Alligator mississippiensis: one gene and its partner. The protein of the gene in region 1 purifies or fractionates together with the protein of each later gene. This does not show direct contact. Links are inferred from orthologs where the notes say so. Each region holds a gene or a part of one and is shown on either strand. Other genes may lie near its edges.

Region 1 (7,448 bases):
AAGAGAAGAGCACCAATTCTTTCACAACACAGCCTCCATCCTTCAAGTAGGCTGGTGGTGTTAAATAGGTGCTGAAAAAACTGTACTGTTTTAACTAGTCTTATTAAAATGATCTTATTTTCAACTGTTCAGGTTTCACTCTCTTGTAACATAAGATCATTAGTTTTCTAGTTCTCCAGCCCAAAATCTTAATTATGGCATAGTATTTTTCATGGGAGGCCATTAAAAGCCTAGGACCCGTTTACAGCTCAACTTGCTCATCAACTGATCTTTCCTTCACCCCAATACTAAACCGGATCCTCTCTACTCGGCATGCTCTGGAGAACTAAGTTATTAAAAAGAAGGCTATATTATCTATGGATATAAACTGAATCACCTGGAAAAGTCAGTCATTACAGAGACTGTGACAAGGAATCTCAATACCAAAAATGTCACTCACCCAAGATGTAATCTTGATATGCTTTAAATCTCTCATAAAACAAAAGGTGATTTGTTTCGAAGGTGTCTGGGAAAAGCACATTCCCATTTGGCACAAACCTTCCTAAAACGGTGCCTAGTTTGTCATGACTCCCATAATCACTGCAGCTGTCATCCTCTTCCTGGCAGGAGCCTAAAGGGAAAAAGGCACAGTTCACTTAAGTACAATTCATTCTTTCATGACTGTTTCAAGGAGCCAGTGCAGAATCCATCGCATGCCTCCCACTACCACACTCCCTTCTGCAGCAACATGTACGCCTCCCAAAAAAGCTACTCCCTAAGCACTGCATGCAGACACTATCAGCATGTTTTTAAATTAAGATCACAAGCAGTACAGAACAAAGCAAAAATATGTATAGCTCTAAAAGCCTCTGTCAACACCACACACACTTTATATTAAAAACATTAGAAATGGTGAGTTGGCAATTCCAGGATTTTGCTGGAGGCAGCTAGGGACCTGTATGCCATTACACTTAACATGAGGGGCAGAGTACTCAAAGAAGTCACCATCCCTCTTCCCCCAAAAATGTTCATTAGGCACTGACAATGAGGGAGGTCAAGACTGACAAAAAGATTTCCCTAAAACCTCTTCCCTTCAATAGCCCAGCTATGAAGCTGCAAGACTGACTTGTGTGCAAAACCAGCAGTTTTGCCTACTTTCCACTGCTCTAAGCCATTTCTGCAGCAATGCCCGATCCCAGATGCTACAAGAGGTCTGTGGGATGGTAGCAGGCCTACCTGAACCATGGTCAACATAAGAATACACTAAGCATGTGGGAGAAAGAGCGGGGCAGTGACTGGGCAGTGACTGGACACTGGACTTGGAGCCAGGAGAGCTAGGTTGCATTTCCAAATTAGCTGCTGACCTTCCACACCACCTGATGTAAGTCACTATATTCATGCCTCTCTCCCTACACACTTTGTCTATCTTGCCATTTAGATTATGTTTTATCTTGGGTTTTTACAATGCCTGGTATAACAAAGCTGATCTCATCTAGATGCTAATGCCATACCAACAGGCTCTTGCAATACAAGCAAACCAGCTGCCTCCACACACCCAAGCGCAGCGAGATATTCTGTGCAGACCAAACAGATCCTTGTGAATATCTGTAGCACAGATAAGCCTATAGCAGAGGCAAAATCTTTTCAAGCCTTATGTTTCATAAAAGGAAGAGAGAACACAAGCTCTTACCCTGTCCTTTGCAGACAGCTACCACATGAATCATTTTGGTTCTCGCCCCAGCTAGTAAAAGTGAGTCAGTCAACCTACTTTTTGAGTAGCATACTCCATTTCTATGCCTTTGGTTTTACAGTGTTTAAACAGTGAGGCATGAAATTAACTTCGTTAACACAAAATACTAAGTTTTGCTAAATCCTGGTAGCACCGGCCTACCGTAGAACTGGCCCGTGTATTAGAACACAGGACTTTACTAGCCACAGAGCACCCAAGTCCGACTCACCTCTCAGAAAAGCAAGAGGTGCTTTTGAAACTTCCTTAAAAAAATAAATAAAAGAGAAACAAACAAAACCTCCTTCCTCCCTCTGGCAGCAGATATTTTCCTCCCAAGCCAGTAAACAGCAGAGCTTTGTACGCGTCAAGCCAAGTTTCAAGAGCTGGTCAGACACTGGGCAGGCATGGTTTAGTGGGGGATGTTCCTGCCTTGAGCAGGGGGCTGGACCAAGCGACCTCCTGAGGTCTGGTCCATACGACCTAACTTGCCACAAGCAATTGTTATGAGCCAGTTCCATGTTGCTAAACCCGTTTGAATGGAAACCAGGCCGACTTCCTTCTGAAGAACTTAACGCAGCCACACTCGCTCTGAAGACGCCGGCATGATCAGCTGGGTCGACAAGCAGCATTGCTAGGGTACAGGGGTGTAGGCTGTAGCCGTGTTGGTCTCAGGACAGAGGCAGACAAAGTTCTTTGGGTAAATCTGATCTCTTGTATTAGGCCAACTCACATAGCTGGACACTTTGACTAGGGCCTGCTAGAAAGGCTTTGTCGCAGTGTATCTCAGACAGAGGCGTCAGGCACATGGTCCGCGGGCCAGCTCTGGCCCCTGAAGCTGCACGATCCCACCTGTGGGTCTCGGGCAGAGCCCGTCTGGATCAGTGAGCAGCGCCCGCGGCTCAGGGGCTGCCCCAGGGACCCAGCCCCGCGCACCGGCTCAGGCTGGTCCGGATCGCGCTGCGCCCGCACCGGCAGGCAGGACCGGGCCAGCAGGCTGCCGGACCGCGGATGCAGCCGCTGAGAAAGCTGCTGGAGGGCCCCGGCTGGGCGGCGCCCCCGGCCCTCCTCCCTGCGGGAGCCCGCTGGAAGGCAAAGCCCTGCTGGGCGCTCCGGCCCGGGCGCTGCCCTACCTCGCTGCACGGCCTCCGGCTGCTCCCCGGGCTCGGCGCTGCCGCTTGCCGCCGCCGCCGCCAGCTCCTGCTCCTGCTCCTGCTCGCGCTCCTGCTCCTGCTCGCGCTCGCCCTCCGCCATGGCCCGGGCTGCTCCCGCCGCGCCGAAGCTCGGAGATTTCAAACTTTCGCGGCCGACAATCCTCCCCTGACGTTAGAGCCAGGGAGCATTCTGATTGGTCGCGGGCCCTGAGGGAGCCAATCGGCAAAGGGCAGGGAACCCTACAAAACGTTGAGACAGGGAGAAGAGTGGTCAGTTGGGAAACGTGCCTCTGTGCGCATGCATACACGTACACGTAAATATACGTGTATACGTATATGTGTGACCAAATATTATTATTATTACTTTATATATTATGTGAAATGTGTGTATTGCTGTAACAATATGATTTATGATATATGAATGAAGTATATGTTGTTTTATTATATATAAAGACAGTAACATCTGGTAGTGCACATATATACACAACCACATTTTATTATTTTAAAACTGTATATAATTTGGTCATGAGCAACTAATTCATTTGACTTTCACAGCAGGGAATTTCCATGTGGGATTTAGGAAGGTGACACCAGCTCCTGCATACCTAGTATCAGTACTGGCCTTCAACCAAAAAAGGGAATGGTATTTTTTTTTCCTCCTTTTTCCCTACATTCAGTCCCCAAAGACAACCCAAGCAGGGTGTGGGGCCCCATCCCCGGACACAAGGAAGCCGGTGGTGGATTTGGCAGCAAGGGCAGGGCAGGGTGCCAAGCGGCTGGACACCATTCAGCGGCGGATTCAGTGGTGTTGCCGAGAAGCTGGACATGAAGCTGACAACAGCATGGAGTTGCCGTGGCCACTCCACCTGGCTTCACCCCAATTCGCCCCCCTTCCCCCCCCCACCAGAGATGGCCCTGTCACTCCCTAAGAAAGGTCACATTCTCCCTGGGGAAATAATGGCTGAGGAACGTTGCTTTAGTTCAGGTGACATAACTTCAGCCCAAGTTTTTTGTTTTCTCTTCCCCGATGGGTGTGTATAAATCACCTGTTTTCCTATCACAGGGGTTTCAACCAATTTTAACAAGCGTACCTCTTCTCTCTCAAAGTTCCAGCTCAGGTACCCCTTTATATTTTTTCTCACTTTTAAGCAAGGGGAAGGAATCAAGGCCCCCCACGGTGAGGGAGGGAGTAAGGCTGGGGCTGCACAGCTGGGGCAGTGTGAGAGACAGAGCCACAAGCGACTCGTTCAAGGGGCCCAGGGAGAGGGGTGGCGGCTCCTGCCGTTGCGCACACCCCTCATACTTAGCAGCTGGACCCAGATGCTCTCCTGAACACGTGATGCACTGCAACTGTGCATACACACAGCATTTATCAGCAACGTTAGATCTGAGTACCCCCTAGGACCTTTTTAAGTACCCCTAGGGGTACATGTACCCCCAGTTGACAACCACTGTCCTATCGTATAGAATTTATTTTCAATATTTATTCAAATATTGCAATGCACAACACTCAGATTTCAATATTTAGGTCGCTGGGTGCATGCCTGTCTACAAAGGGATTAAGCAATTTGCTTGAAAAGTTCTGTTTCTTATTAACATGCTGCCATTCCAATTACAGAACAGCCCTTGCATTTTTGATATATCTGAGTAGTAGTCATCCCTTGAGAGTGGTTCCAGAAAGCAGCTAAGATGGCAAAGTACTCAACCAGGAGATTTTAAAATTAAATTAATCTGTCATAAGTGACTTGTCACAGCCAACTCAGCTAGTCAGATCAGTTCATATAGGACAAATTCAGGACAGCTAACCAGAATGGGAAATATTCCTTTTTTAATAAAAGTAGACTGGAATTCAATAACTCATGCTAATAGGGGAGTCAATCAAGCACAGCTAAACAAATGTTAAGAAGACACTCATCTTCACTGTATTAAAAGCAAAAAAAAGGTGCTACCTGCACTTCTAGGTCTAATCAGTGACCTTACTGCATTCACCAACATGTTAAGCACATGTGTTTTTCCTTGTGGATCTCATACTAGCAAAATGTGCTCCTTGCTGGCATATTCAGCACTGAATGCTACAAAAATAATGAGAAAAGGGGGGATTTGTGTCAGTGGGAGAAAAAGAACACTGGCTGCACAAAAAACTCCTTCCCTAGCACAATTTCTGGGTACAGTTTTTGCTCAGAGAACAATTTGGAAATGGCTACAGCCACAATTGCAAGATTCTTTTCCAAACCAGCATGAGTGCTGCTCCTGTGACCAGAGTCCCAGAAGAGCTCCTTCTATAAATGAAGACATCTCAAGTGAATAACAAGCAAACTAAAAATAATGGGCCAAAACAAACTTCTGGAGCAACAACCTGATAACTGTATGAGTCTGAAGATCTGATAGGCCATTTGCTTTTATACCGATGCAAGTGTGGAAATGCTACCAGATCAGAATGTAACACTGGAGATTTTCTTTGTGCTGAAAAGACCAAGTCAAGCAACAGAGAAATAGAAAAGGTGGCCCTGGTTATCCAAGTGCCTCCTACTACTGTGTCTTCAGTTTTGCTTGTTTGCTTTGCTGTTTGGGTTTTTTGTTTTGGTTTCCCTCCCCAGACATATTGTTTTATTTATATTAAGACCTGGGCTTGTGAAGACTTACACATTGTGGCAGAAATGCCACCGTGGGTGCCCCTCTGCAGAGACCTGTCTCAGCCAGCCTGGGAGGCTGGTGTTTCATTCCTCAGGGTGGGGATCTCCCACCTGGTCTATGTGACAAAAGCCTGGCGCCTGGGAGGCAGATGCTCTAGTCACCTGGGCAGGGCGGAAAGACCCGGCCCTGGGGCCCAGGTAGCCAGGGATGCTGGGGAGATTGGTCGGCTTGTGGCCAGTATTGGCAGCTTCAACTGGACCGGGCTGCTGAGGTCAGAGAGGTTATTTAAGGGCTCGGTCCAAGAAGAAGGGGCAGTCAGCCATTAGCCATGCGGTCATCCAGGTGAATCTGAGCCTGGCTCTCTCCTCATCACCGCATGCTCCAAGAGTGCACTGCCTTCAGAGGATACAACAACTACCTCTGGACGATGAGAGTGAGTAAGCTACTAAAGATCCGATTAGATATTTAGTTTCAGTAACTCAGATGCGTTTAAACGGCTACCTCAGCCACCCTGGTTTGCTCAATGGGATTCCTTTGATATTCCTGTAAGATTTCTATGAAACTGCTCTACCTTTTACCCTGTTTCCGCCCTACCCCCTGTAATCAATAAAGTTCTCCTTGTGACCGGTGTGGGAGACTTATTGAGGGGTGGGTCTAAATTATGCCAAGGAGGCCCCTTAGGTCTGTGGACTAAGGGAGACTTTCCTAATAAGCCCCTGATTTGGGGAAGTGCCCCAAGTGCTTGTATTGGATCTAGTACCCATTGGACGATCAGGCCTGCGTTCTCCAAGGCGCGCAGAGCCAGAAGTGAGTCCAGAGCCTTGGATGGTGGCAGCGGGACCCCAGGCTAGCGGGTGTGCTCCAGGGAAGGGGTCGGCCGGGCGGGAGGCACCCTAAGGGAGGCACTCGGAGCCTGGAAGGTGGTCGGGCGCGGGGAGGTGGGCGGCTCAACGCAGGAGCGCCCCTACTGGCCCGCCACACGTGGTGGCAGAGGTGGGATCCGAATACCCTGCTGTATTAGAGGCATAATTTGGGGAAAGGAATAGAGTCACTGAAATCCCTTGAGCAAACAATTTCTAATTTGACATCGGGTCGACTGGATAGGGTAGAGAGTCAGAATGGCGGACGAGTATGTCCGGATGACTGTGCCCGAACTGAAAGAACTGGCAAAAGAGAGAGGCCTACACGCGATGGGAAGGCTAAAGAAGGATGAGCTGGTTAAACTCTTGTGCACCAGCGAGTCAGAACAAGTGTCAGGTTCATGCTCGGCAAGTCCTGAGCCTGACCCAGGAACACCCTCCTGCTCGTCCAGCCTGGAGGCCGCCAGGAGATCACCCTCTGAGAGGGAGCGGCAGAGACTCCATGAGATAGAGCTGAAAAGGATGGAGTGGGAAGACAAGAAGGAACAACGACGGCTGGAGGAAAAACAGCTGGAGGCCCAGCGTGAGAAGGAGCAGATAGAATTGAAAAGGCTAGAGCTGGAGGCCCAGCGCCAGCGCGAGAAGGAGCAGATAGAATTGAAAAGGATGGAGCTGGAAGAGAGGAGGTTGGAAAGGGAAGCCCGGTTGGAGGCACAAAAGCTGGAGGCTCAGCTCCATTTGCAGACCATTGGGGGAAACGTGAACCCTCCGCAAGCGTCCGGGGAACAGCCCAAACTGGATGTCTCCGCCTTCGCTCGCTACCGAGAGGGAGACGATCCTGCGGTGTTCCTAAGCAACTTCGAAAGACAAGCCCAGCGGTGCAAGGTGCCGGAGGAAAAGATCATGATGTACCTGTCTGCGCTGGTAGAAGGTGACATGGCGGTGATCCTGAACAGCCTGCCCCCAGATGCAGCTGATGACTATAATGCCTTCAAAGCTGCTGTGTCCAAACGGTTCAAGTTAGGACCGGATTATTTTCGGAAAAAATTCCGGAATACGCGCCCACAACCCGAAAAGTCATTGAATGATTATGCG
Region 2 (6,952 bases), on another chromosome or scaffold:
CCATGGCAAAATTCAGTGGCACGCCTGTTCATTTCTGACAGCACATGTTTGTGCCGTGGCACACTGGTGGGGAAACAGTGGGCTACCCAACGGCGGGCTACAACACGCCTTGTGCCAGGCACATTGCACTCCCATGGGTGTGCCCTCGGTAACATTGCTCTCTCTCATCTCTGCTTTGGGCAATAGAGATAAAATAAAAGATATTGAAATAAACTCTCAGCCAGACTTTGATAATCCTACGCTGCCAGTGCACTGGGACATCGTCTTCCCACCAATAGCTCGGCTTCCCTCAAGATGCCTGGTGTGGTCCACCCTTTCAAAACCCTCTGACTTGTCCTTACTTACTCGATGGCACGAAGGACGGTCAGCACAAACACCAGTCACTCACCACATCTCTGGCCCTATAATCAGTCAACCAGGATTTAATTGGCCACATCGTATCCGGTTAAATTATTTCCATCTTCCTCGATCCTCCTGGTTTTTTTCTCAATCTTCCCGGTCTTCTTCCTCGATTCTCCCAGTCTCGGGCTATGGGCTGAGGAGGGAGAGGAGAATCGAGGTAGTCAACCAAAGACTGTGGCGCTGGTGTCATCGGGAAGGCTTTGGCTTCCACGATCACAGTCTGCTCTTTGGTGACAAAGGCAGTGGACTGCTGGGAAGGGATGGCCTCCAACTCACTCCGCTGGGGAGGAGGCTCTTCTCAGTCAGACTGGCTGACCTGCTCCACTGGGCTTTAAACTGAGCCCGCCAGGGGATGAGGGGACCACCACCACTGCAAGCTCATTGGGCTGCTTTTGCAAACCCAGAAGGCTAAGGCACTCAAGGGAACCTACCCCTACCCAGCCCCAGAGCGAGCCATAGGGAAGGTAAGGGCCCCCAATGGGGCACTTGCATGCCTGTACACCCATGCCAGGAGCTTGGGGAATAAACAGGGGGAACTGGTCCTCCTACTAAACCGAAAGGATTATGATCTCATAGGGATAACAAGACCTGGTGGGACTCCACCTATGACTGGGCCACAGATATAGATGGCTATGCCCTGTACAGGAGAGATCGAGTGGACAAAAAGGATGGCGGGGGGGTAGCTCTCTATGTCGAGGAAAGCTATGCATCCCTGCAAGCTGCCATTGGCACCCAGGATGGATGACTGGAGACTCTCTGGGTCAAAATCCGTGGCGAACATGGCACAGGGGGACACAATGGTGGGAGTCTACTACAGATCTCCTAGCCAGGATCAAGAGCTTGACCAGGAATTTGCCAGGGAACTGGCCGAGACTGCACGCTCCCGGTGCACGGTTCTTATGGGAGACTTCAACTACCCAGGCATCTTGTAGGAAGAGCACTCAGCCACATCCAAATGGCCGCAAAGCTTCCTCCTGTGTGTGGATGAGCTCTATCTGACTCAAGAAGTCTATAGATCGACGAGAGGCAAAATGCTGCTCGACCTGATACTAGCAACAGGGGATGACTTAATCAGTGCCCTAACGATAGAAGGGAAGCTGGGAGACAGCGACCACGAGCTGATCACCTTCACCATCCACCGTAAAGCTGGCAAATCAGTCAGCAAAGAAGAAGTCCTTGACTTCAGGAAAGCTGACTTTGATAAGCTCAGGAGGTTTGTTGGTGAGGCCCTAAGGGACCACGACCCAAAGGAGAGGGGAGTTCAGGAAGGGTGCATGCTCCTCAAGGGAGCAAGCCCGGAAGCTCAAGCAATGTCTATCCCATCTTGTAGGAAAGGCAGCAAAAGGGCACAGCAGCCCCCCTTGCCAATGCAGGGAACTAGAGGACCTCCTGCATCTAAAAAGACAGACCTACAAAGGATGGAGAACTGGATCCACCTCAAAGGAGGAGTACTCTGCACTGGTCCGGACCTGCAAGAAGCGAACGAGGAAAGTCAAGGCTGCGATTGAACTCCAACGGGCTACACATATCAACAAAAATAAAAAGTCCTTTTTTTTAGATATGTGGGGAGTCTTAGGAAAAGTAAGGGCAACACTGGACAGCTGCTAAACCACGTGAGTTAATGGACAACCAGGACCTTGAGGCCCAGGGATGGCAAGAAGAGCTGAGCCTGCCTACAAGTGATAGGCATCCTTGCCTTTCTCCTGCTTTCCCTGACCAAGAATTGAACCTGGGCCACAGCAATAAGAGCACCCAACCCTAACCACTAGACCACCAGGGAAGGGCCACGGGGCCTCCGCGGGCTGAGCTGGACAACGGGAGTGCCTCTGGGGCACAGGCTGCAACTTGTGGTGGCAAAAGTCAGGGGTCGGGGGCGGCACTTGCCTTACACAGATGGCGGCCAGGGGCGGGCCTTCTGTCAAGGGGCGGGGCTTCAAGCTGGACGGCAGCTGTAGCCCTTCTACTCCTAGACCAGCAGGGAAGGACAGGCCAGCGCTTGGGCTGAGGCCAGGAGCGCTCTCTCTTGCCCTGTGCCATGGGCTCGGGCCTGGCTCTTCCCCTGCACGGGGTGCTGCCACCCGAGGGGGAAAGACTCTGGCGTTCACACCGGCGAGGAGGGGGACTCCAACTCCCCGCCTGTGGCATGCAGCACAGTCGCAGGCAAGGGGAGGGAGGCAGGGGCATCCTTGCCAGGATGGCTGAGTGGTCTAAAGCGCCAGGCTCAAGGTCATACCCTTCCCTCGTCCTGGGGGGTCCTGGTCTCCCTTTGGAGGCGTGGGTTCAAATCCCACTCCTGGCAGCAGCTTTTGGCACTCAGCGTCAGGCCGGCCTATAGCAGGGCACCAGGAGCTGGCGTCCCAGGGAGGCCAGCAAAAGCTGAGCCTGCCTCCAAGTGGGAGGCCTCCTTCCCTTTCTCCTCCACTGCGGGCTGGGGATTCAAAAGCCGGCTTTCCCTGGCTGGGAATCGAACCCAGGCCGCGGCAGTGAAAGCGCCAAATCCTAGCCACTAGACCACCAGGGAGGACACGGGGCAGGCAGCCCTGCCCTGCCCGCCCGCCTGCCTCCATCTTGCCTCCTGCCCTGGCCCCAGGCGCCACCCCCCTGGGGCGCAGGGATTTGCTCAAGGCAGGTCTCCCAAGCCCTCGCTCCAGGGCCAGCAGCCTTCCCTTCCAGCCCTGAGCACGGGGAAAAGCTGGCCCTTCTCCACCGGGAAACAATGCCCCTGCCCACAGCCAGGGCAGGCCCCCAAGGACCTGGAGGCCTGCGCGGGGGGCGGGCTCTTTGGAGGGGCGAAAGCGGGGTGTGCCACGGAAACCAGTGCTACACCCTGCCCTGTGGGGGACTGGGCACTGGGGGCTTCCTCCTTGTCTGGTTGGTGATTGGCCAGGAGGTGAACCGACCCCCCCCCCCCCGGTTAGCCGTGTGGCCTTGGTGTCCCGCAGGAGAAGGCACCAGTTGCCCGTGGTGATGACAGGGCGTTAACATATCTGAAATAACGTGTCGTAACTGGATCACGAAGCGCGCACAAGAGACCTAAAGCGATCCGGAGCTGTCCTGGAGATGAGGTGTTTTCTGAGACCAACCAGGTTTTTGCAAAAAACCCAACCTGGATAACGGACAGAAACCTTCATATTTCTATCCCTCACTTGCAAATGCTGTAAAATGGGGCCAGCCCTAGGTAAGTGAGGAGTGTGTGTGTGATGCAAATGAATTAAATCCAGCTGATGTCGTGTTTTTTTTTTTTAAACAGCGCCGATCACGGCACAATCACTGCGCAGCGTGGTGCGGTGCGGAGCGGCTTCTCCTTTGCGCGGCGGAAGGCGGCTCGGGACTGAGCTGCCCTTAGCAAAGATGGCGCCCAGCTTGACTTCAGCGCGTTTCCTTATAAAGATGGGTGAAGCCCCTCATGCCCGTACTAGACGTGGCGTCTCCTTTTGACGCCGTTGCGTTCGGGGGAGGTAACCAATGAGCGGCAGGGGACGCCGGGAGCGGCGCTGTGATTGGTGCCCGGCGCGGATTCAAACCGTGGGCGGGGCGGCGCGCGGGCTGGTGCCGGACGTTGCGGGTGCGGCCGTGCGGAGCCGGCGTCGGCCCGCGGGAGCATGGAGACCGCCGTGATGAACCTGCGCAATCTGCTGGAGCAGCTCCTGCGCCAGGCCGACCTCCTCAGCGAGGGCAACGAGCTGCGTAAGTGCGGCGGGGTGGGGAGGGGGTCACTGTTAGGGGACCCACGGGAGTTATGCAAAAAAAAAAAATAAAAAAAAATGGAGATTAAAATTACAATTAAAAAAAAAATCAATATGCAAATGTAGGTACAAGTCTCCGGGCTCGGGCCTGCGCGCCCACCGCAGGATGTGGCAGCGTGTGAAGCCCCTGGAGTTGGGGCCTGCATGTTTGTGGACTGACCCGTGGGTTTCCCCCAAAAAATGGACTTGGGAAGCTGTCCAGTGCCCTAAATAAAGCGCGATCCGATTTAGCACCTTTAATTTGACTTTTTTTAGTCAACCGAACTAAAAAAAGTACCCCTCGGGTTAATTTTACGTTCAAATAGACACAAGTATTTGAACCGAAATATTCGATTGGGGGGGAAAAAAAAACGTGAATGCAGCACGCTTCATGTGGTTTAAATGTTATGTTCAAAGCTTTGGGTGGGAAGAAGTTGTTTTTATTGGGATCCGTGTCAAAAGGTCCAGAGGGGAAATCGCGGGTCCTTCCCTGACCTGGGTTGTTTAAATTTAAGAAAAACAAAGCGCGAAGCGAGGGCACGGAGGACTCCTGACACGCTGATTTTAACACACCCGAGGAAGCGTGCGTGACGCGCCGTGCTTTGGTTTTGATGTGACCTGCGCAGCCAATTAAGTGGATTCATAATTTGGGTTTTGGTTTGGGCTGTTATGCGAGTGTACTTACTCTCCTGTTTACAAATCAATAAAACATACGTTACATACTGTCTCTCGCACTTCCTAGGGAAAATCCCCTGGAAAATCTTAATTGCAGCTTTCAAACCGCCCAGCTTGCCCAATACGGCGTTGGCATCCATTCGCTGTTACTGATGAGTTTGACGCAACCATGAATTTTTAGAAATGGAAAATTTCCCATGGACAAATAAAGCGCTGGCAAATTTTTCCGCTCCGCGTCTCTGTGACTGACTCACGGGTTTGGTTTGGACCTGGAAAAATTTTCCTTAAAGTGCCTAGTGTAGGCAGCCCAGCTCTGTTTGGCACCCTGGATTTGGGATCTGTTTTGCTCCATGGGAGCCTGAAGGGACAAGGTGAGGCCTTGGAAAGGATGCATCATGACTATATTTGAAACTTGGTGTCTACCTAGTTCATAAGTAACAGCTGATACGTTTTGTTTTGTTTTTTGTGGGCCGCATCTTGGTCACCCCAGCTTTTAACTGTTGGCTTTGAGAAGTAATGCTTGCCACTTGTTTTTGCAGATCCGGAGGGTGCTGGGGAGAGTCAGTACTTTGACACTGGGGGCTATGGGTTGTGGCGGGGGAAAGCTTTGGCTAGAAACCGATTTGTGAAATTTGCTCTGGTTGTAACTTTGCAGGATGACATGGGCTTATTCCCTTTAGGGAGGTGTTAAACAGCTAAAGCAAATTGGCTTTTTACTTTCGAATCAATAGTTGTATACTTATACAGCTGAATGGAGTTGTAAGACCAGGCATCCATAATACTGCTCTACATCTGCGGGAGCGTATTGCAGCACTCCTGAATTTATTGTGGAATGTCTTTCTGGTGCATTAATCGGCAACCTTAAAGTTTTATCTTTTTCATGTTGGTTTCATAGCAGTGGATTTGTGCTGATATATGTTAACCTGTTAGAAAGGCCAGCTTTTTACTTGGAGTTGCCTTAACGTGGCTGCAAAACTCACCTCATGCCCTGGGTCGGATCTGTGGGTCTCCTAGTGGGCTGGGTCCAGCCCAGGGCTTGAGGCAGCTTGGGCACGAGGCATATGATAGTAAAGTCTGTTTGAAAAATGATATAATTGCTTGAGTGAATAGAATCAAAGCCTCTCTGCAAACTCTTGTCCTCCTCCTGGGTTGGCTAAGAAGTTGGTTTGGTACCTTTACTTAAAGAAAGCAGGAAGAAGCCTTTCATTAATGAATAAAGGGATGCTTTATTTTCTTTGCTTGCGTTGTTCACTAGTGTTTGTTAGCCATGTTAGTTTGGTGGATGCTAGGATAGAGTCGGCATGAGCTTTCATAGGCAACAGTCTGTTCTCAGACTCTGTGACTGGAATGGCAGAGAGAAGAATGTATTAAAAAAGAGACGTGGGGAGGAGAGGTAAGAAGTGGGTTGATTAGATCAGTTGGCATGAGCAATGTAGATAACACGTGGAGGGGTGCCAGAGTTAACAGCCAGCCCAGGGAAGGAGAGTATAATCCACAATTGAACCATTCCCAGCGGTTACTGATTAGGAGCTGGTTCACAATTGGTATAGGTCAGAGGTCCACAGACTTGGCCCTGGAGGGAGAACAATTACCTTTTAGGCTTTGAAGTGCTGTTGGTCTGACTCCAGGTGGTAGGAGTGACCACCCAGCCCAGAATGCCCCGTTGCAGAGTGGGTGGGTGTGCTCACATGTGTGCTTGTATCTATGCTTTGGGACTCCCAAGGAATGTGGTTAGGGGAGTGTTTTCACTTTTTTTCCTTTTACCCTAAACATGAGTTCAATGAAATTTTAGTAGCCTGTACTTGACTGAAACCTGCAGTGTGCTGGGGGGGATACCTGGACTAAGGGTGCACAGCTAAAGATTTTCTTGGCTGATACTGATAGCCAATGATTAATCAACCAGCTGACATACCAGCTGATGCCAATCTGATAACTAATGTTTAGTAACAGTACAAGGTGTTTTAAACTGCTGACATAAACCTTGTATTTGTCTGTTATGCATTTATCTCACACATGCATGTGTCCTGCTTGCTCTGGCCCTTGTTGAGGAAGGCAGTGACCACCTTATTCCCTTGCATGTTGCTCCCTTGCCCATGGCTCCTACCCACAGCCCTGCTCCCTGTGCTGCTGTCCTGCAGGAGTGGGGTGGA

What was found. The genes of interacting proteins can lie anywhere in the genome.
Region 2: the proteins of SHCBP1 (region 1) and RACGAP1 purify together in Homo sapiens (affinity purification with mass spectrometry; 8 studies listed by BioGRID and IntAct, counting the BioPlex papers as one, with this or other methods). This does not show direct contact. The link is inferred for Alligator mississippiensis from reciprocal best matches to the Homo sapiens genes SHCBP1 and RACGAP1.

The regions. Positions count from the first base shown.
Region 1 is NC_081833.1:55,531,075-55,538,522, reverse strand, and holds the start of SHCBP1 (SHC SH2 domain-binding protein 1), read right to left. Parts: upstream 3,008-7,448; 5' UTR 2,960-3,007; coding exon 2,839-2,959; intron 611-2,838; coding exon 440-610; intron 1-439. UniProt on the Homo sapiens protein: May play a role in signaling pathways governing cellular proliferation, cell growth and differentiation. May be a component of a novel signaling pathway downstream of Shc. Acts as a positive regulator of FGF signaling in neural progenitor cells.
Region 2 is NC_081838.1:5,804,009-5,810,960, reverse strand, and holds the start of RACGAP1 (rac GTPase-activating protein 1), read left to right. Parts: upstream 1-3,939; 5' UTR 3,940-4,004; coding exon 4,005-4,089; intron 4,090-6,952.